4 linked regions of the Drosophila melanogaster genome follow. The protein of the gene in region 1 interacts with the protein of each later gene in a pairwise test. Each region holds a gene or a part of one and is shown in the gene's direction. Other genes may lie near its edges.

Region 1 (7,094 bases):
AAGTACAAGTGGGCACCCGTGAAACCAGGTGGATATAAGCCCAAGCCGCGTAGCAGCGTCGGCTGCACTGTGGCTGCGAATGGCAAGGCCTATACCTTCGGTGGCGTTATGGACGTCGATGAGGACGACGAAGATGTGCACGGACAGTTCGGCGATGATCTCCTGGCCTTCGATTTGACCTCCCAAACATGGAGATTGCAGGAGATCCAAACTAAAAGCAGCAGCGCTGAGAAAAAGGATTCGGAGGAGAGCAAAGATGTGGAGATGTCGGCTGTTGATAAGCCAGTGACCACCACCACGGATGGCATTTTCACGGTCACCGTTGGCGGTCCCAGTACCAGTACCACGCCATTCGTGTCCAAAATACCCAGCCTATTCGCCAAACCCAAGCCGACGAATGTGCCATCTCCGCGCATGAATCCCGGCATGTGCGTGTGCAAGGGAACGCTGTATATTTTCGGTGGCATCTTCGAAGAGGACGACAAGCAGTTGACCTACAACGATTTCTACGCCCTGGACTTGCACAAACTGGAATGGAAGGTGCTAATCCCCAATAGCTTGAAGGGCCACGAATGGGAGGATAGCGACAGCAGCAGCTCCGACGAGGAGTGCAGTGGCAGCGAGGAGGATATCTCCAGCAGCAGCTCGGACATGGACACGGATTAAGAATTTCCAGTGACTATATATTAAATTTGGTTAACAATTGTACACATGTATAAAAATGGAATATTTTCAACTGCTGAGTAAGCTCGAAATTCTCACAGCTCCAGAATCTCGGTGAGAATGCGTTGCGTATCCTTGGGAGTATATACCCTATGGCTGATGGTTCGAGGATCGCTATAGATCTCATAGTCATTGCCGCCCGGCTCCGTTTTATCGCCAAAGAAGTGGATTTCCTTGAACTTGTAGTGCGCTTCGATGTGTCGCAGGCAGTAGGTCTTGTCCCAACCATGCGGGAAGACATCGAAGCTGATCTGACCACCAATCGAGTACGTGAGATCCACATCGGCAAACTCCTGCTTCAGGTCCTTGATCATTTTCTCGCGCACCTTGTGCTCAATGTCGTACTCGGCGAACATGTTGCGCTCCTCCCGAGTGCACTGCCTGCCAATGGGACAAACGTTCATCATGCCATTCCGGAATTCGATAAAGGTGCCCCTCTTGATGGGCACATCCAGTTCGGACAGATAGCGCAGCACAAAGTTGATGAAACGCTTCACCGTCTCCTCGCCCAAATGCATGATGATATTCTGCTTTCCCACCTCCTTTCCGCCCTCAATCTGCACCAGCCCATTTTCCGGGAATATGAAGTCGAACTCGTTGAGTATCTTCCTGCCATTCAGCTGCTCGAACATCTTCTCCAGATCCGAGCCTCCGACGATTCCGATGGTCGCCCTCGGCTTAACCCGCGAGTAGAAGAACTCCTCGAACTCCGGAGTGACCACGGATCTGGGCATCGTTAACGTGCCGTCCACGTCGAAGAGCAGCAGGATTTCATCACGCTTCAATGCGGCGGTGGTCATTTTGCATTTAAATTTTGTGGTAAATCAGCAGGTGTTTAATATCCAGATATTTATGTCCACGTATGATTCGAGATAAAGAATTTTACAAGCGGCAACGCAGTGGTGAGAAATCCCCTAAAGCTTTCGATGCACCGGCAAGGGGAACCAGTTCCGGAATCCAAGTGCAATCAAAATTAATGTTTTGAATTGCCTTTTACGTTAGGTTTACTATTTAAAACAATGAGAGTATAAACATTCAAGCACAATCATTTGGATTTTCCTGCATGTATAGGTAACAGTTTAATTCATGGAGTTCATGCTGTCAGGGTACAAATAGTTTCTATTTTAATAGCAATTTGTACATTGCAGTTCTTTATCAGGCAAACTAGAATACACATATTTGGGTTCTTAAGTGTAGCATAACAGGGGGTTCTACTGCCTTTTAATGTGCTGCAGTTCATCTCTCTTGATTTTGCTGTATTCCTGCAGGGTTTTGTATTTCTCAGTGTTAACCATGGGGTCCACAATGACGGGGTATAGGGTGAGGCCCACGGCGCCCACGATGCAGGACACGAATCCAACGAATCTCCAACCACGCAGGACTGCCATTTAGCTAAAATATGGAATATTTTAGCTGACTTTTCGGTTTGTTATTATAAAACACAAAACACCTGGTTGACCGTAAGATGCTAGAAAACGCCAAGTGTGTGGTCACACTACTGTGGTCACCGGTGAAGTGCAGTAAATACTACAGAAGAGATAACCTGATAGAAAGTAAAATATAAATAAACAAGATTACTGTATATATAATAAAAATAGATATAGGTATAGATTAAACTAGAAATATCCTGAATGCTAAATATGTTTCTTGATTCATATCTCACTTAAGCATTCTCCACTGTGTGTACCTGTTGGTATTTTTTGAAATCATGTCTATTTCTGCCCGCTCTGGTTACACTGGCTTCCTTGAGCTGGGCTTGGGTGTGGTGTTTTGTTTGAGTAATTGTTTTTGCAGATAGATCTTTTTAGTTAATACACTTATTAATATTCTTATATCCCGAATATGGCTAGCAGCCTCGTTTTTGTGGCTCTAGTCGGCGCCTTATGTTTTACGCTCGCTAACGGTAAGTTGCGGCTGGAATACGAAAGTCGCCCATTTCTAGGGCGTTGGCATGAGTTAAAACCACGATTTTGCAGCACAACATCACTACGATGAGCACAAGACCACACGGATGGTGTGGTGCACCAAGAGCCAGGCGGAGCAGTACAAATGCCAGAACCTTACGGTGGCCATCGAGCGGGATCGGGCACTATTCGACGAGGTGTTCCTCAATCTCACCTGCTTCATGGCCTACAGTGCGGATGAGTGCATCCATCACATTGATCGCGAGAAGGCACACATCACCACGCTGGATGCGGGCGATGTCTTCACTGCTGGACGGTACAACTCCCTCATACCCATTATGCAGGAGAAACTGGAGGGCGGCTTTGCGGACTATCAATCCGTAGCCGTGATCAAGAAGGGATCTCTACCAGACTTGAACAATCTGCGCGACATGCGCAACAAGAGGGTGTGCTTCCCCTGGGTGGGCAGCTTGGCCGGTTGGATTGTGCCCATTCACACGGTGAGTAGAACTCCTCTTTTAAGTTGATTGTTTATTTGTTTCATTAGGCAACTAACAAACAAATTTTATCGTTTTGCAGCTCCAAAGGGAGGGCGGCATGGAAGTGGTGGACTGCAACAACCAGGTGAAGACGGCCGCCAGCTATTTCAATAATTCGTGTGCTGTGTACTCGCTTTCCGACAAACACAATCCAATTGGCGACAACTCCGATAAGTAATGACGCATAAAAGCCACAATTTTACACACATTAACTAACAACAAATCAATTTTCAAACCAGACTTTGTACGCTTTGCACTGGAAAGATACCCGGAGGACGCTGCTCATCTGCAGATCCCTACTTCGGCTACGAAGGCGCCTTCAAATGTCTGCTTGAAAAAGGAGATGTTGCCTTCTTGCGCCATTCGACTGTGAATGAAATGCTGCAAACCACCGAATTCAGTGAGTTACCAAAGGGAAACTTCTGAAAACCCATTACTGATCTAAGCTGCGTTTTTTAGAGAACATAGCACCCGACACTTTTGAGCTGCTGTGTCGTGATGGTCGTCGTGCCTCCATCAACGATTATCGCCAGTGTAATTGGGGCCAAGTGCCCGCCGATGCCATTGTCACATCTTCGGCTCGCAGCTTCAGCGATCGCAAGCAGTATCAGCAGTTTTTGAAGCGCATTGCCGAGCTGTACTCCGATGGCACACGTGATGATCAGAGCAGGCAGGGAGGACAAAGCTTCAACAGCCGCAACAACATCAACGATCAGAATGCCTATGGCCAGTTCGATAATAATGATCCGTACAGAACGCAGAATCAATACGATCAGTATCGCAGCGAACGATTGGACAGCAGTTTTGCAGAGGAAAGAAACCAGCAGGACGGCACGAACACTTCCATACTCTATGAGAAGTTCCGCATCTTCGAGTCGAAGCGCTATGGCAAGCCAAATTTGCTGTTCCAGGTAAGTGGATCATATTTTCCGTGATCCGAAATACATACTTAACATTCAATTGTTTTGTGACAGGATTCTAGTCGCGCTCTAACCGTGATTCCCGAAGATGATCAGTCATTTACCAAGTACCTAGGCCCTGCCATTAACTTTATCTACGGCATCCGTGAGTGTCCAGTTCCAGCGATGACGCTTTGCGTGACTTCGGAGAATGAGCTTGATAAATGCATCAAGATGAGGGTGAGTTGAAGAGTGAATATATGGATAGCAAGATGAGTTGATGATCCTTTACAAAAACACTTTTAGACTGCCTTGAAAGCTCACCTCCTGAAACCAGAACTCATCTGCAAGAAAATGCACTCCCACATCAACTGCATGCAGTTCATCGAAGCGGGCAAAGCAGACATCTCCGTTTTCGATGCCGGCGATGTCTACACTGGTGGCCTCAACTACGACCTGGTGCCCTTCATGTCGGAGGTGTACAATCTGGGCGAGCCCGAGTATTATGTGGTTGCCGTGGCCAAGGAGGATGATCCCGATACGGAGCTAACTTACCTGAAGGGTAAGAATACCTGCCATACGGGCATTAACACCGCCGCTGGCTGGACATATCCGATGGCGCTTTTCATCTCGAACGGCTGGATTCGTCCCTACGGATGCGATTCGGTTCGAGCTGCCGCGGAGTACTTCACCAAGTCGTGCGTGCCGGGTGCCATTAGCAATGAGTACAACACCGGTGTGCCCTACGACAGCATGTGCGATCTGTGTCATGGAACTAGCTATCGCTATTGTCGTCGCGATGCCTCCGAGGAATACTACGGGCACACGGGTGCATTCCGTTGCCTCGTCGAGGGCGGCGGTCACGTGGCCTTCATGAAGCACACCACGGTGATGGAAAGCACGGGCGGCAAACGCAAGGAATGGTGGGCCAGGAATGCCCTAAACGATGACTTTGAGCTGCTCTGCACGGATGGTACTCGTGCCGAGATCCAGGACTACAAGCGCTGCAATCTGGGCAAGGTTAAGGCCAATGCTGTGGTCACCCGCGGCGGAGTCAACTACAACGAGACCCAGATGAATGCCTACATCAATCTGCTGACCTATGCCCAACAACTGTACGGTCGCAAGGAAGTGGACGCCTTCAGTTTCAGCATGTTCTCCTCGCCGATCGGGCACTATGATCTGATCTTCCAGGACGCCACGCGGCAGCTGCAAGTAATTCCGCCCAATAAGCGCAGGTATGATGCCTATTTGGGCAGCGATTTTATGCGAGCACGCCGCATCACCGACTGCTATGCTGGTGCCTCCCAGTTGGCATTATCCGTGGGCCTGCTCCTCGTGGGTTCGCTGGTTGCAATGCTCTAAGCCACTAGACTCACTTAGATTTCAGAATTCTACAAGCATCTCTAGCACAAAGAGAAAACATATCAACATTTTTACATTCCAAATATGATTAAGTTAAATGTGAAATCCCTTCCGTCCGAAAATGAAACTCTAACTAGCCGAAAAATATCTGTTGAAGGCTATAGTTTATAATTTATAAAGTCCTGTGCCTTATTATAGTATTTGTTTGTGTACATACCAACTAAGACCGTCCAAAAAATGTACCTAGGAGATGTAAGCCGAATCTTTTACAACCGCTTATGTAAGTATACAAATAAAATAACTAGATAAAGGAGTTATTTTGCTTATTTTGAATTAGTATCATTTGAAGAATCCTAATATCTTGACCGCAATTGTAGCCGCCAAATTCAAATTGAATATGTGCGCTAACATCGCTTTGAAACATAGATGTTATTGAAATTTACGCTGGTAAATATTGCATTTAACCTTAAAACACTCTGTATTGTTTATAAAGCCAGTAAAATGTTTGAAATTAAAGAAAATAGCGTAGTTACAAGTTTCAGCGCAGTGTGACCGCTTGGCCGCATAAGCAAGGGTGGAACAGTGCCGCGAAACGACGGTCACACCCGCCTGCACACATCTGTGGAATTGTTAAATTTCGAAAGTCCGGAAAAACCGGACGGAACCTTTCACCTCGCTCTGGACCAGTGGCACCGCCCTCGAGTATCGCAAGATGTCTATTAACCTGCGCACCGTCTACGCCTTCGCCCGCGAGATGTACCCAAAGACCTCCAAGGAGACCATCCAATATGGAACAGCTGGCTTTCGCGGCAAGTGAGTAGTTGCCTCCATTAACGATCTTAATAATCATCATAATCATTATGCTAACACACCCACACGATGCACACGTTGGCGCATTTGATTAGCACACGGCGATTGTTGGTGGTTTTTTTTTTTTTTTGATAAATGGGCGGTTGCAGGGCTGTGATGTTGGAATTTGGCGTTTATTTTTAGATATTGTTCACCTTTTATCAATGGACATGCCCTTCTTTCGCCGTTATGTCTGCCTGTATGTGCGTAAGTGTGCGTGCATGTGCATATGTGCATACATACTGACGCACAGTCGCGGGCAGCGAACTAGTGCCACATGTGCAAGTTGCAATATTTTCAAATCTCAATGATTAATAACTTGTTATTTGTGAAAAATGAACCAACTAAGTATTTGATTACATAGTTTGTGGTTTCCGCGCCCTTATTTTCTAACCACTTTACAGCCAGATAACAAAGTTTCCATGACACACCTACTGATAAAAGCAATTGCAACGCCTAAAATGAGCAATACACAGTGCTTCTATAGGCTTATCAATCCAGCGAAGATAAAATAGATAGCTAAAGTGATAACACACATATAAACAAACAACATTAGGTACAAAACATTTTCCAACTCCAAAATACAAGCTAAAAGATACTTTTGTATCTAAACAAAATCCTGATGTAATAACTCCGCATTTTTTTTTTAGGGCTGAGTTCCTGGACAGCGTGATGTTCCGCATGGGCGTTCTGGCCACCCTGCGTTCCCGGTATCGCGGAGGCTCCGTCATCGGTGTGATGATCACGGCATCGCACAATCCGGAGCCGGACAACGGAGTGAAGCTGGTCGATCCCAAGGGCGAGATGCTGGAGGC
Region 2 (5,781 bases), about 12 Mb from region 1:
TTCACTGTGACTTCGAATAAGGCCTTTGTGAGATCAGCTAAGATGCAGGTATGCATGAATGGAAAATGTGATTTTGTCCTGTCTTTAATGTCTGTGCTTTACAGGGTATCAATGTGCCTGTTTTTGTACACGCTTCAGTTGCACTTACCGAAGGTAAGCAGGCAACAGGAAGACCGCTTTAAAAACCAATAAGCGTTAAGGCTATTCAAATAAATTTTATGTGATTTTTTTTCAAAAACTGCTCTACACAAAGTTGTTATAATTATTAAATAAAGATCCTTCAAATTTGAATTCGATTGGTTTTTAAAAATTCGAAACGATACATACGACTCTTATCGATTGTTGTCATGACAGAGCTGCCACACCTCGCGCATAAAACATATGTAAACAAAAGTGAAATTTTGGAAACTGCGTTCTTGCAAAAAAATAGACGACATTTTGCTTGCATAAAACAGGCAATATTGCAATTGGGAATATAATTATTAAAATTTAGGTGCCTGGCAATTTCAACGTTACAAGAGCAATCATATAATTTCAAATCAGGACGGGAAAACAGTCAAAAACATGGACTGCGCACCACTGAACTTGGTAAGAACCCGAAGAAAACATCGAATTTACATGGTTTTAAATGGAATTACCTACCCAAATCAAAGGCTCATTTCCACGAGCGAAGGTCGGAGCGATTTATACGCAATCACCGCTATGAGGAGGCCATTAAAGCGCTGGAAACATCCCTAATCTACATGCAGGATGCCCAAAAACGGGTGGCTCTGCCCAAATCCAAGGAAGTTCTGGACACATTGACCCTCGATTTTCAGCGCAAACTGCGTCAAATTGAGATGCGAAAGACGCAGCATGGTCTGAACAAGCTGAAGGATTATGCTCCCTTGAAGGAAACCAGTCCCATGCTGCCCCTGCGACCAGAAGCCGGAGCAAGTGGAGGCGCAGGAGGATCCGCTCAGTCGGTGGCCAAGGCAATCGACAAAACAGTGCAGGACTTCGATGCCAAGTTCACCTCCTCCTTGGTGGCAAAGGCCTCTAGCACACTGGCCCATTCGGAGCCCCATATGGAGACGCTGAAGAAGAGCGATTCTGCCCAGGAGGAGCAGGAACACGATACTTGCGATCAGCGGCTGGCGGGCAGTGGAGACCTGGACCTGCCATCCTTGGCGCCCTTGGAGTTGCCCTCCTTCGATTACAGCCTGTTCACCAGCTCCTCGGCTCCTTCGTTGGCCAGCTATGCCGGCATGGCTGAGAGCTTCCAGAAATAGGCCTGGTTAAGATCCATTTGTAAAACTTCAACTAATTTGAAAGATCTCGTGGTAATGCAGTGCCCGCTGAGTGGTGATTAGGATTTAATTTTAGGCACGTTCTTCATTTCAACGTTTTGTGCAGTTCCCTTTGTGAAGTGTATTTGGGAATTCTCTAAATAAATTAAATTAGGTTAATTCACAATAATAATAATAATAATAATACTTTGTGTATTACAATCTAAGTCGTTTATTTGGCCATCAGACCCTTCAGCAGATCATCCATGTCGGTTTCGGTGTCGACATTCTTGAGCAGAAGCAGCACCTGTGCCTCCATCTCGCAGAGGATATCTGGTTTCTGGTAGGTAATGATCAGCGTGTTGAACTGGTGGTGGACAGAGAGGCTCTCCTGCGCGGGCTTGACCCCACAGCGGTCCAGTTCCGGGACCGGGATGACCTTGTAGTACTTCTTGTTCGAGGTGCGCACGACTATGGCACGCTTCTCGGGATCGGCGGTTACGCTGTATGTGTCCAGGGAGTAGGGCATGTTGCGGATGCGCCACTCAATGTTCTTCTTGGTGATCCGCTTGGTCAGCAGTGGCGCGGTGTTGCTCTCCCGCAGGGTGAAATCTCCGCCGGCCAGGGAGTCCGTTTCCTCGCCAGATCCTGGTGGCTTGTTGCCCGACCAGTTTAACTGACGCGGCTCATCGCCCAGCTCGATTTCCCACTCCGACTCGCCCATGATCTTGTTGCTCTTCGATTTCCAGGCCCGCCGCTGCACGATTCCCGTGTCCATGTTGTACTCCTCGGCCATTTGCCTGCCGTCCGGGAATTTGTAGAGCACCTTGCGGGCGCGGCCACTTATCATGGAGTTCTTCTCCGCCGCCTGCAGGTAGTTTAGCCAGTTCTGGTAGGACATCTCTGGGGATTGATGGGATTACCTAGGCACACGTCTCCGCCGGAGATTCGAATATAACAACTGAACGGGGCAGAAAATTTGATCGATGGCGCAAAGTTGAAAATTTGTTGAGAAGCACATTGCGATGGAAACCTGGCAACCCAGCTGCCAGCTTGTTTACATCGCAAGCCGGGTTACCAAGGCACTTTAAAGCATTACATACAATACCTTATGATCGATTTGTCTTGTAATATTTGGAGGTAATGGTTAATTTTAATGCAAAATACGTACTAATTCTTGCCATTTTTTTTACTTACTAATAAAATGATTTTGAAATTCGAATATTTTCCATGAATTCAGCTTTTTTCTGGCTACCCAATTTACAGTTGATTCCAGCGCGCGAGTTGGCAGCCCCGTGCGTACACAAAAAAACAGAGTTGACGTGGCCGGCGCAGTGACTACATAAAATATACGCATATTTCATCACGGCAGCGATTTAATTATTGCTATTTAAAGTAAGCAGCCAGTCACTCCGGCCGTAGTTTATAAATAGCCACTAGACCGTCCGTCCCGAATCCGTAGACTTAGCAGCTAATTTGGACGCATTTCTGCTTACAGGCGGCAGTCGAAAAAAGCGAAAATCCAAGAAGCGAAAATCGAACGAAAAAGGGAATTAATAAAACATTAAAAATGAGTTTGGTGTGGACTTTGATCGCCGGATTTCTCTATGCGGAAATCGCACTGGTCCTTCTGCTGGTGCTGCCGGTGCTCACTCCTTACCGCTGGAACCGGTTCTTCAAGTCCAAATTCCTATCGATGTTGGGACAACAGGCGCACATATATTTCCTGCTGATCATGGGAATTCTGGTCATTTTCCTCCTGGAGGCCATTCGCGAGATGCGCAAGTACTCCGGCTTGCAGCAGTCTAACGAGGTCCACTTGAACGTGGAGATGCAGCACAGCATGAAGCTGTTCCGTGCCCAGCGGAACTTCTACATCTCTGGATTCGCCATTTTCCTTGCCCTGGTCATCCGGCGACTGGTAAACTTGATCTGCACCCAGGCCAATCTCATGGCCCAGAGCGAGGCTTCCTTCAAGCAGGCACAGAGCGCCACTGCAGCCGCACGTTCCTTGCTGGAGAACAAGAACACCGAGAAGGCCAAGGAAGCCGGCGAGGATACCACTCTCATCGAGGTGAGTCCACGTCCCAAACCCCTGCATCCGATCCCCAGGAATGGCATGTCTAGAGAGCTAACACCTAAGACTTTGGAGTTCAATTGGCTACTACCAGCTGTAAAGATATGGCAATGCATATAGAAGGTGTGGTCAAAATATGGCGAGATAATGTCTTTAGCCGACTAAATCTATAAAATCTATACTTCATTCCACTTTCTGGTACATTTTCTCAATTGGTTTTGAATATAAGATACGAAAAGGCTTTAAATGTAGTCTATTAACGATATAGAACTTTAAATACCAGTATATATCATGATTAAAATCTTAAACGTAAACTTAAATCAGTTTGAAGACCGAGTGAATTTGTCATAGGCTTAGTGCTTTTGTTTTGACCGCAGCTAAACGTTTTGAAACCACACCCAAACACATATGTTGGGCCACGATAAACAGAAGCCACCACTCGAAAGTTTAAACCTCTTGTTAACTCTTTAAACAGCTGTCAAGACTGCGGAGACGTGTGCAAGGACTCACCGCCCGAGTGTCCTAAGTATCCCCACCTAGAGCACCCACCTTATATCCATTCCCAAACACCCAAAACGAACAAAAATCCAATCGAAACTCAAACGAAATCCGAATTTTGCAGCTCAACAAGCTGCGCGAGCGCGTCCAGGAGCTAACCTCCGACTTGAATCGCGAAAAGAAGGACAAGGAGGCGGTTAAGTCGCAGGCGGAGAGCATCAACCGCGAGTACGACCGACTCACCGAGGAGTACAGCAAGCTGCAGAAGAAGATAACCATCGGCGGAGGCGGAAACAAGGATGATTAAACTCACTGGAGCCAAGTCCAACATTTAAATAACGATAAGACTTATAAGCATGGCGGTGGGGCAGCGAAAGCAGGCACATTTAAAAGATTATAACGATTTCAAATCGATAGAAAGCACACACATCTTATTGTTAATCCTCATAGATACAACTACATATACCATTTGATAATGATAATGGGGTATATTGATAATGGTCCCTCAACTCAATGTTCGTTTCGTCCGAAGTTTTGTATTTAATTCGTATGTGTTAAGTTTTGTTTGCCACAGTAACACACCCAAAAAGCGTCGTGGCTATTAAAAGAACAACCAAAAAGTACCCATCCAGTTGTGATCGATTCGATGATTCATCTGTTGGCGCGGATAGTCCACATCATGTCTGATAGTACACGGCAATGACGTCAGACGTCGCAACCTGTTTGCATACTTGGAGCTTAGAAATCGGAGGCGTTACATTATCGGTGTGCGAAAAGGGCATCGAATATGTTTCCTTGATAATTACCCAGAAATGCTAATCAAATTCGCATATTTAGTGATCTATCGTGGTTTTGCAGTGCATACTTTAATCTTAACTTGAACAGAGATCATCCTACATAAATTTGCTGTTCAATAAACTGCATTAAAATGCTTACTCCCACCAGAAGCTTACAGAGAAGCTAGGAGCTTCAGATCTCACATAGTGCCACCATTTGGGTGGCATGTACAAACAGTCACCAGGTTGCAGGAGCAGCTGGTAGAACTTCACCTTGGCTACCAAGGGATATGTTTCAGGATCCAGTTGAGCAGCATCTATTCGCGCTGTATTGGCCAAAAACTCACTGTCGTGGGGATACAGATTGTCTGTGTCTGCAGGAGCAGCTAGGATGATCCTCTTCGAACCGAATACCTGGCACAGCAAGTTGTGCTTGGGATCGTAGTGCATGGGAGATACGGTTCCAGCTGGTCCCAGCCAGGCTTTGATGTCCACAGCTCCTGGGGTATCTTCGTTGCTGATGGTGCAGTAGTCGGGAATGGATATATCCTCTTTGAGGGCTGGTATCTGGGCGAAGAGCTCGTGCTGAGCGAGATACTCGATATTTTGGCCAGCCTTGCTTGGTTCCTTTCCGAATTGTCTGCTCAGGAAGTCGCGGATCTTCACCAGCTGCTGGGACCATTCATCGCTGGCATAGTTGGAACCTATTTCAATGGGCACCGTGCGATTCCCGGCCACTTGGAGAAGGTAATTGAGATCCAGCCATTTGTGCAGTGCAGGCCAATGCTGGATGGTGTTGAGCAGGAGTGTGGGTTGTCCTGCCTCAAAGCACTTTGTCTGGAACTCTTCTAGACTGGGAGCGTCCAGTTGGGGTATATCACAGTTGGAGGTTACTCGGGTTAATGGCTCTAGAGTTGGAAGTGGTGCGGAATTCAGTGCTACTGCTCCATCCTTGTCGAGATAATCCATTAGGGCGACTTTCAGTTCACTCCAATCCTCCATGCAACCCAAAAGTTGAGCCTCATCGAGGATCTCACTGCACGCATCCTTCTGGGCGGGACTAGTGCTCTCCAAGAGAAGGAAAAAAATCTAAAATGTATATTTGTAGTTTGTATGGCTTAGTTAGCATCTAAATCCCACCTTGAAGCAACAGGCTATGGCG
Region 3 (5,250 bases), 8.2 Mb from region 1:
TTCTTCAAGGAGCTGCCATTGCCCATCGATCCATCCATGTTTCCCACCTGGCCGGCCAAGAGCGAGTTGGGAGCCCGCAAGGCGCAAGCCTCTTCCCCCAAACCGCCATCCGGTGGCTCGCAGTTCAAGCAACTAGGCCGCGACGAGCCCATCATCGTGGGACCGGGAAACAAGCTCTCATCTGGGATTATCACTGGCAACAAGAAGAGCCACGGAGCTGGTGGATCGTCGGCTAGCACGGGATTTGTCCTGAACGCTGGAATAACGCAGCGCCAGTTGGCCATGGGACCGGGATTCAGTCTGAAGTTCTGATTCTGTGTGTTTTAGCCCATTACGATTACGATTAATTGTTATGTATAGTTAGCGATGTAAGTGGAAAATTTCGTTTAATTGTATGTGTATAAATATTGTTCCATATATAATTTAAAAAGCCATACAAAGCAATTGGGATGTATAATCATTTTTCACCTCAAGAGCGGCAATGCCATGTGGGTGGGTCAATTCAAGGAATATGAAAGTTGGCTATAAACATATCGAAAATTACTCCATCGTTTTATTGTGCAAACAACTTTTCAAGGACCAAAACTCAACCCACCCTCAACACTCCGAATGCGTCCACACCTGTAACTTTAAAACTTAGCCTAGGGGAATACTAACGCTCTACCTGAAATGCCTAAGTGGACCACAGATAGAAGTAAGTGCTTTGCCACGTGGGAATGTAATCTTTAAGGGGTTTGGCAACCACCTTAGCAATGGGCACACTTGTGGCCACAAAGTCGAGGATCCGCTCCAGTCTGGATTTGGTGAAGCTGTCATAGAACGGCGATCGGACCAGGAAGTACATGATGTTTATGCATCGCCTGCTCAGCTCCAGTTTTTGTTGCTTGGACATTAGGTCGCGATGCTGGCGGTAGAGGTGAATGCTATACAAATCAATGGATAATGCTACCATATATTGCTTCCAACTTCTCCGGCCGAACAGCCCCATGGCGACCAGGTGGATTAGTGGCTTCGATATATACAGGTATTCTGCTTGCAGGAGTTTCCTCGGAATTTGCGTCTTCGCCGCTTCATTGTTGTCTATATGAAGCTTGAAGTCGCGGTATTGCAGGGGAGGAGCACCCTCCACTTTACGAATCACACGGCCAGATCGCTTCAATTGGAAGGTAATGGAGTGCTGGGACTGCAATAAATCGTTCGTGGAGGAGGCCACACCATCCCCCGAATTCTTCCTCTGTTTGGCCCTTCGATTCAGTGCGGCGATGGGCGGTGAGGTGATTATATCCGAGGTTGAGTGTTTCAAGATAAAGAAACGGCCCGCTGCCTTGAAGGCCTGTATTAGCGCTATCACCAGCCACTTGCCGGATTGACCGAAAAGCCGACGGGCTGATATCTCGATGAAAACCTCGCTATATTCGAGCGTCGTCAACGTGACCTTTAGACGGTAGCAAAGTTTCGATTGCAGGTGGATCACCGAATTCTCCTCGGAATTGCGTGCCTTTTCGATGATCCGGTCGTTGTAGAACACCAGCATGTTTGACAGTGTATATACCAGCTCACTGACCACATTTGATGAGGAAATGCGACCTGGAAGCCGGCCAATGAGATGAGTCTGTAGGCTCTATGTAAGCAAGGAGTTCACTTTACCTGCTATAAAGTAGGATACCCACTTGGCTGTGGTCTCAAAATCCCCCACCACGTCGGGGTTTTTGCCCACCCACGCCTCGTACGCCTTCAGCATGCCCTTCAGAGTGTCCATTATATCCGGAAAATATTGTCTGTTCCTCCAAATAATAAAAATAATGAGGTGTTTCGGTCTACAGGTAATCAAATCGGTGCAGTTGTGGTGTTCTGGCGTTTTGAACAAGGCGTTAGTGCTTTCATGCAACACAAAATAGAAGGTGACGCAAAATGAATACATATATGAATGCAAGCACGGAGAGCGTTGATTAAACGCTTTGGATTAATAAAATTGGTACAAAAATAAATACCAAATACCAGTGTCACGAGCTTATCGCCATTACACTTTCAAATTTTACCACATTGGTGCTTACACGTCATAGAAAAAGAAACTAATAATTAAGGACCCACAATTTGTAAGAACCACATTTGGCATATCTGCCACCAACCTTTCATAGCCCCTTTTAATGTTCTTCAATGTAAAGATTTGCTTGTTTAGTCTCGGCATCTTAATTCAAGTTTCCTGATTCTTTATACTGCAGTATATTTTTATTGGGTATATTATGCATTTAAAATTTTAGCCCAGGTACTATGTTCTTTATAATAGAAACATTTCTTACCAAATTTTTCGGTAAAAACATTTTTCCAAGTTCAAATCTTTATTACGTTACAAATTACCTTAACGTTATACATAATAACCCTAGAAACGCTAATGCATTAGTAATTTCGAGAGCAGCAAAGTCTTTGGTCACACTTTTGTTTTTGTGCACTTTGTAATCGAATTGCTCGTGAATTCGGATTCACTCCGTTTTCGTGTGTATTAGCTAGGCAAGATTGAATTAAGAGTCGATATACAGATGTCCAGCAACAACACGGACACTGGGGACACCACCGTCATGGCGACGGCTACCTCGGTGCAGAACGATGTCGAGGCCGGCGTAGATGAGCAATTGCCTCGAGAATCGCTGGTAATATTTGTTCAACCCCTTCAAGTTTGCCTAATCTATAATCCGACTATTCGCCGCAGATAACCACTGCAGTCAGTTTTCTACAAAACACCAAGGTGCGCCACACGACACTTATCCAGAAGCAGCAGTTCCTACGGTCCAAAGGTCTCACCGCTCACGAAATTCAGCTGGCCTGTGAACGGGCCGGCGTTTTCACCCAAGACCCCAACAAGCCCAATCCGAATCCGAACACCGTCATTAGCATTGGATCCCAATTGCACGCGCTGCAGCCGCAGCCGACTGTCTTGGGCCGGATCAGGGAAATCATCCATTCGGCAGCCCTGTTCAGCGGAGTCGTCTACGCAGTCTACATCTTCTGGAAGGTGAGATGCAGTGGGATCTCTATTTCGGGGTCTTTTAAAAAGATTTATTATATTTACTCCACCAACTCGAGTGCGAATTTAAAGATCGCCATCTTGTCTAAGGCTTAGATACATTACACATATATTTGATGACACTTTTACCAGACGACGTTGAATTTACTTAGTATTTAACACATTTTGTAAAAGTGTTAGGACGCATAAATAAGTTTTAAGTGGTCCACCAGTCCAAAGTCCATGATTGCTAATAACTTCTAAAACCCGTATAATTTCAGCAATACATTGCGCCCTACCTGTTCGGCAAGTCCAAGAAGAAGGCGGTCGATGAAGTCCTGGACGACATAGACAAGAAGGTAGAGACCCGCACCAACGACCTCAACAAGGAGATTTTGGCGGTCAGGGATCTGATCACCACACAGCAAAGGGAACACGCCCAGCAGCTGAACCGCGAATTTAGTAACTTCCGTAGCGATCTGGATGCCATTAAGGGCCTGCTTTTGAACCGAAAACAGTTCGCCGGCCCTGTGGCTCCGATCGCAGTGCCATCCATTCCCGCCTGGCAATTGGCCGGCTCACCGCATCACCATCACCGGCACAGCGGGTCGGACGACAACGAGAAGGGCGATGATGCTGGATCCGGGTCTGGCTCGTCGGAGACAGAGGTGGTCACCAAGAATAGTGACTCCAGCTTGGAGATCATGTAATGCAATCAGAATACGAGGCTGGCTATATAGACGTAGTATATAGTTACGCTGTAAATTGAGTTTCCCCGTTAAATGCCTTCAAGACTTTTGGTTTTTTTTCTTTGCGTTTATAGCATTTAAGGTTTCTTTATAGTCAACAGCTAATCCATATCCAAAAGTACATACACACACTCACATATACACACTTATGCGATACGATGTCTATACAATGTAATAATAAAAAGTTTACATAATAACAGGTTTGAATTGAAAGAAACTGTTTAATTAAGCGCAAAAATGCTTTGTGTAGTTTTTTGTTTATCGGTACATACGGGGTGGGGATAGCATATCGGTTTAGACAATAAATTTCGACTTAGACGATAATTGGATTCTAAAAATTTTGCCGAGTGCTACTTTCTATAAATTGGCTAAATTCCCTTAGGTTTGATTTAAGATTATGCCGGGCGGAGCACCTCGAGGTTTTGCCTACAAGCTCCTTGAAGACTCCACCCAGATCCTTAACGGATTTAAATTATTTATTTATTGTGCGGTGCCTAGTTATGGTTTTGTTTCAATTACAAATTTGGTTCTCTGCGCATTCCCTTCATTAAATTTCCTTCACTACTTACGTTAGTTATCGATTTGTACATACGATAATTTAGTATTCAAATAATTGTTTGCCATTTTCGTAAAAGTTAATGTATTCTAGTAAGTTAATATTCTCACAAACGATTGTTAAGGGCTTCACAGTTCACATGAATGTGTTCTTTATTTCTCACTTCGTTTTGTGAATGGACAAACCATTGCGAAATACCCTGAAACAAGGATAGAGAACAGTACCCCTACCCATACTATGTATGCATTATTAGAGTCTTTTGTTGGGTAGCTTGGCCCTTGTTTGTTGGGTACAATCGTATAAGATAAACAGCGGCCAGGCCGGCATTTTTATCAGCTATTTCAAATTAAATATAACATATTTACAATTAATTATACCTTGCGATGGGGGCAATACCAGCTGCCAAAGGCCGAGCACTGTGTACGTTTGAAAATTAAAGCTTTGACAAGAAGTACAAAAATGTGTACGTTTGAAAATTAAAGCTTTGACAAGAAGTACAAAAATGTGTAACAAAATATTTAGTGTTTTAAAGCCTGTTGTTTGACCCAAACGTAATTTACCATTCGGACAGGCATCATTTGATTAACACCGAGCGATGTGTAACGTTACAAATTAAGTTTTTAAAATAAGAAATTACAAAATATTGCGTAATATGTATATGCGTTTTCCTGGTTCCAACGATACATTTTGAAAACGGAATTGGATAGTTGTACTTTTTCGGAAAAACAGAAGTTGCCATCCCTTTGGCTTCCGCGTTTGTTTAAATTAAAGCGATTATCATCCGATTACACAAAACTAAACCTCAGAACTGGGAGCATGGCCGCTAGTGTGGCTTCAGGCCCAATTGGTTTTTTCTTCCTCAAATGTAACCCTAATTTATGCTAACAGAAAGTGCACAGATAGTATGGACAAAATAGAACCATGTGTGGATAGCAAGATCCCAA
Region 4 (4,745 bases), on another chromosome or scaffold:
TCCAAGCTCTTCTCCACTTTCTGCAGGCTATAGGATGATATGCTCCTGCCATTACTCATCACCAAGCTCAGTTCACTCAAAGCCATGGCAGTCACGGCGAACTCGGACTGAACAATGGCCTCCCGACCGCTGCAGTGCGTCAATTGCACTGATTTGGCTGACCTCTGAACTGCCCACAGTTCGCGGGTATGAACGGCGAGCAGAGGTTGCTCCTTCAGCATGAAAACATTGGAAAGGCAGTTGACCAGCATGCAGGGCTTGGCTAGCTCATTGTATCCCCATTCGCAGCTGCGGATGGCTCCTCGCACGGAAGATATGTTCGTCAGCTGCCAGGCATCTTCGGGGGCACCGACTAGCCTGCTGCCGCTCCTCTTCCAAGTATAGACATTCCCCTGGGACGTTCCTGCACACAGAGTCTGTCCCGTAGAGCTATATGCCAAGCAGGTGAACATTTCGCCGTTCAGCTGGCCGTACTTTGGTGTCTTGCGGAGAACGCCGCTGCTTTCGCTGCTGTCATGGCTAAAGAATTGGTTGGACGAGGACATGGTGCCATTACTTAAAGTGGTCATAGATGAGCCTGGCTGGTTGCCACTGGGTAGGTCCATTTTCAATAGGTAATTGTCGCTTCTCTCGATGTCCCAAATGCGGACGAAAAAATCGCCTGAAAATTAGTCTTAAATTTAGCACAGAAGTGAAAAATCGAATAATATATCCTACCTGTTATGATGGCTAAAGAGTTTCCAGACCACGCGATGCCTCCCTGCCGACCGCCTCCACGTCCGCTCATTTTAACACGATCCAGCTCCGTAAGGATGCCTGTGGATTCAACCAAAAACAAGGTGACTGTCAAGTCCTCCATCAGGCAAATGACGGCGTCCCTAGAATGGAATAATGTTAGGGTTCAGGTAAAGAACCTTTCGATCTCAACAGCTCTTTACTTTCTTGGGTGCCACAACATCTGGACAATGGGAGGCAGTGATCCGCACTTCATCACCTCGACACAGGCGCCTCCTTGGTTGATGTAGTACACCACTCCTCCTTGGGTGCAAGCGTAGAAGCAGTGGTTGTCCCGCACCCCCGAATGGGTCATGCTCCGGGCTGCTGTGCGCGGTCTCCAATTGGTTAGGGTGTCCAGGGCGTTCTCATCGCCTGCCACAGCAGCCTTGGCTAGATTGGCCATCTCCTCGCGCACCTCACTCTCCACCGTAAGGCGGAAGCAGATCAGCAGCAACACCTCCCGCAGGTCGTGGGAGAACATGGTTAGGAACTGGTACTGGCCATCGCAGCGCCATCCGGTGACCAAGCCCATGGCATCCGCCGTGACCATCCGCCCGCCCTGCTCGCTGAACTGCAGCAGGACGATGGCCGCCTTGTGCGGTGCGTTCACGCTGGCAAACTCCCTGTGACCAGCGAACCACACATGGATGTCGCCGTGCTCCCAACCGCTGGCCAGGAGCGCCTTCTCCGGATGCCAGCATAGTGCCGTCGCTTGCGAAGTGGCGTGCACCGGATAAGTTACATCTCGCTGGGGCTCACCCTGCAATTTGATTATATAGATTATATACATTCCGATTTTTGGCAGGGTCTGCGACCAAAGCGATTAATACTGACGGTATCTGCAAAGATGGTCACTGAACCGCCTCTTTCGGGACTAAAAGAGGCCACTGCGAAGAGCGGCTCACTGGGATGCCAGCTGCTGATGGTGCTCACTGCATCCGAGTCCAAGAACTCGATTTTCGTGTCAAAGTAGAGAGTCATCACACCGGTTTTCCACCTTTAGTGGATGAATTTGTTTTGGCAGGAGCCAAAACACAGTAACAATGTGTTTGCCTAGCAACGGTTGTCATGGTTGCTCCTAAGCAATTGATTAATTGAGATACCAACTTGATCCAGGTTATTGGATATTGCAAAGAGCAAATAAGCACAATAGTTTTATTTCACCATTAATTCACTTTACCGACAAATAACTCTTTGGTTTATGAGTTCTCAAGTTATCATTCACCACTTGATCGCACGATTTGTCATGGGGTAAAACAAACAAACAAGCTAAACAAAACTTTTCCAGGGAATTTAATATGGTACTTCCCAACAATACAGTTCTATTTCTATTTTCAAAACTTAACGGGTTTTGTTAAATCTGCCTACCCACAGGGTGATTCCGACACCCAGCAGCGAAGATAATTTTAAATAAATACGAATGGGTAGATATAATTATAATAATTACTTCCATAGATCGACGACATTACTCATTCATTACATCATTTTGGAATCTATTGATAAGCATTATGCTCCTCCCCTGCACATGTGACAACCAGCTATTAACGGCTTAGCAATGACTTTGCAGCTTTGCCAAAATTCCAGATAAATATTAAATCCCTATTAATCAGATAGCATGTTAAAGAAAAACATGAGAATTCCTTCATGGCAGAAATCAAATGTTCACAGCTCTAAATAACCATGCGATTCTATTAATTAATTCTAGCGTCTTTGATTTCAAGTTGCATTCCACATACTTTAGCTAGTTTAAATCTAGCCAAATTGGCATCGCTGGAGCTTACCCACACAATCATCCGTCGCGTATTCGCCCCGTTAACTCGCAATACTCGTGCATTCGAATGAAATCACCGGCAAACAAAACAGTGAAACCAGAAGGTTCGCCACTACTGCGCCTCATTTGCAGTGCGAACTCTGAAAATGGCTGATCGTCCGTGTGCTGGAAACATTCTCCGCATCGCCGGGGCCGTGATTCTGCCCAATCTGGGCGGCATCTATAACGGGCGGCTGACCAGGCAGCATCTCCAGAGCTGGTACGCCAACCTTAAGTTCCCGTCCTTCAAGCCGCCCAACTCGGTCTTTGCGCCGATGTGGATCTCCTTGTACGCGGGAATGGGCTACGGCTCCTACCTGGTGTGGCGTGATGGCGGAGGCTTCGCCGGCGAGGCGGCCAAACTGCCCCTGATCGCGTACGGCACCCAGCTGGCCTTGAACTGGGCGTGGACGCCCATTTTCTTCGGGCAGCACAACATCAAGGGCGTGAGTACTGCTGATATCACCAAGCCCAGGTGTTATGTCTAATCCGCTTCATCCACCAGGGCCTTATTGACATAGTTGCACTCACGGCCGCCGCGTCCGCCTGCGGCGTTCTGTTCTACCGAGTGAACAAGACCGCTGGATTGCTCTTCGTACCCTACGTCGCCTGGCTGGGATTCGCGACGGCTCTGAACTACGCCATCTGGAAGCTGAACCCGGAGAAGGAGCAGGCGCCCAAGGACGAGGAGAAGCCCTCTAGCAGCCACGCTAAGTCGAGTTAAGCCCAGGATAAACGAAAAACAAGTAATTTTGGGTGTCTTTCATGCAAATTGCAGGGCTTTCCGACCTATCGAACCAGGGCTGGGCAAAGTTGGATAAAATATCGATAAGCAGTGCCTCCAATGGGGCGCTAAATTCAAAGTATCATATGCTGCTGCACGTTCAAAAATTCCCTATGTGTTATGTGTTAATAATAAATTAAAGAATCGTAATTTTCAATGCTATTCTCGAGAACGATTAATAGGCTACAATTTGTTGTGACATTGCAATGGAATAACCAAAGATATTGAGAAAGAATTTCTCGATTCACTTCAGTCTTTGTTAAATCATAATTTTATTCAAAAATGTAAAGGCCACAAATAATCAAAAAACGGTTAGTACCCGGGTTCATCAGAGATTAACGAAGGCGAAAATGGGCTCTGAAAATGCGAGTGAGTTTGAAATGCAAGGGCGCCGATTAGAAAATAGACTGAAGGAGGATCAGTTGGGACCCCCAGAGGCGGAAGCAGGATTGGTAGGAGTTCCGGCCTTCGGGGAGGTGGCTTTTGGGGATGCAGCCGATTTCGGGGAGGCTGTGGCCTTCGAGGCGTTCGCCGCCGACTTCTGCTGCCCCCCAGTTGGTCCAGTTTGCTTTGGAGGAGACGCTTTGTTAGCTGCTTTTCCCTGCTGTTGTTGTGGATTCGTCTGGTTGGGGGATGCTTTTGGAGAAGCAGCAGCGGGTTTTGGAGTGGCCTGGGCCGGCTTTGGAGCAACTGCTGGCTTGGCATTGGGGTTCGGCTGTTTCTGCACGCCCTTGTTCCCTCCTGGCCCAGCTGATCCTCCTGCTCCTCCTGGTGGCTGCTTTTGCGGTTGTTGGGGCTTGTTGGCTGGCTGCTGCTGTTTTGTCTTCGTTCCTGCCTCCTGCTTCTTGATTCCCGCTTGGGGAGCCGCCGACTGTTTCTGAGGCGGAGTAACTACAGCAGGCGACGGAGGAGTCACCGTGGCGGGAGATGGAGGAGTCACTGTCGCTGCAGAGGGCGGCACCGAGGTGGGAGTCGATGGCGGAGTGGAGGGAGCCAGAGGAGATGGCGCCTCAGCAGGAGTGGCAGGTGCTACCGGAACTGTTGCCGTCACTGGTTTTGTGGGTGGTGGTGATTCCTTCTTGGGTGCAGCCTTCGGTTCCTCAATGGCCTTTGGCGCATCCGCTGGTTTTTCAGAAGCGAGAGCAGCCTGACCCTGAGGTTGTGCAGGTGCCTGAGAAACGTTGGGGACTTCCGGTGCTAGCGTTTTGATAACTTCTGGAACTGGAACTGGTGCATCCTGTTTAGCTGGTGGTGCATCCTGCTTAGCTGGTGGTTCATCCTGCTTAGCTGGTGCTACTTCCTGTTTAACTGGTGGTGGAGTCTTTTGTTGTGGCGCTGAATCCTGTTTAGGGGCACCCTTTGGTGGTGAATCCT

The links.
Region 2: the proteins of Tsf2 (region 1) and CG13887 interact in a two-hybrid assay, tested with the Drosophila melanogaster proteins (one large-scale study listed by BioGRID).
Region 3: the proteins of Tsf2 (region 1) and Pex14 interact in a two-hybrid assay, tested with the Drosophila melanogaster proteins (one large-scale study listed by BioGRID).
Region 4: the proteins of Tsf2 (region 1) and Tspo interact in a two-hybrid assay, tested with the Drosophila melanogaster proteins (one large-scale study listed by BioGRID).

What each region holds. Positions count from the first base shown.
Region 1 is NT_037436.4:12,529,084-12,536,177, reverse strand, and holds Tsf2 (transferrin 2), read left to right. Parts: upstream 1-2,453; 5' UTR 2,454-2,565; coding exon 2,566-2,626; intron 2,627-2,699; coding exon 2,700-3,127; intron 3,128-3,206; coding exon 3,207-3,340; intron 3,341-3,405; coding exon 3,406-3,566; intron 3,567-3,625; coding exon 3,626-4,077; intron 4,078-4,140; coding exon 4,141-4,305; intron 4,306-4,371; coding exon 4,372-5,430; 3' UTR 5,431-5,742; downstream 5,743-7,094. Other genes in the region: CG4069 (uncharacterized protein), read left to right, coding at 1-666; Pmm2 (phosphomannomutase type 2), read right to left, coding at 759-1,523; CG34242 (uncharacterized protein), read right to left, coding at 1,935-2,111; nst (nesthocker), read left to right, coding at 6,143-6,243, 6,930-7,094. UniProt on the Drosophila melanogaster protein: Iron-binding protein and component of septate junctions that form the paracellular permeability barrier in epithelial tissues.
Region 2 is NT_037436.4:835,283-841,063, forward strand, and holds CG13887 (uncharacterized protein), read left to right. Parts: upstream 1-2,578; 5' UTR 2,579-2,838; coding exon 2,839-3,342; intron 3,343-3,820; coding exon of another isoform or gene 3,821-3,871; exon of another isoform or gene 3,872-3,967; coding exon 3,968-4,150; 3' UTR 4,151-4,649; downstream 4,650-5,781. Other genes in the region: CG42553 (uncharacterized protein), read left to right, coding at 1-48, 105-182; CG42554 (uncharacterized protein), read left to right, coding at 565-588, 654-1,271; CG13901 (uncharacterized protein), read right to left, coding at 1,501-2,169; JMJD5 (jumonji domain containing 5), read right to left, coding at 4,776-5,708, 5,760-5,781.
Region 3 is NT_037436.4:20,776,396-20,781,645, forward strand, and holds Pex14 (peroxin 14), read left to right. Parts: upstream 1-2,403; 5' UTR 2,404-2,537; coding exon 2,538-2,648; intron 2,649-2,707; coding exon 2,708-3,010; intron 3,011-3,282; coding exon 3,283-3,711; 3' UTR 3,712-3,983; downstream 3,984-5,250. Other genes in the region: pitslre, read left to right, coding at 1-312; Pex16 (peroxin 16), read right to left, coding at 674-1,587, 1,648-1,759.
Region 4 is NT_033779.5:557,005-561,749, forward strand, and holds Tspo (translocator protein), read left to right. Parts: upstream 1-2,607; 5' UTR 2,608-2,694; coding exon 2,695-3,033; exon of another isoform or gene 3,034-3,092; coding exon 3,093-3,311; 3' UTR 3,312-3,519; downstream 3,520-4,745. Other genes in the region: rempA (reduced mechanoreceptor potential A), read right to left, coding at 1-661, 718-878, 939-1,537, 1,612-1,758; uncNacbeta (putative nascent polypeptide-associated complex beta subunit), read right to left, coding at 3,790-4,745.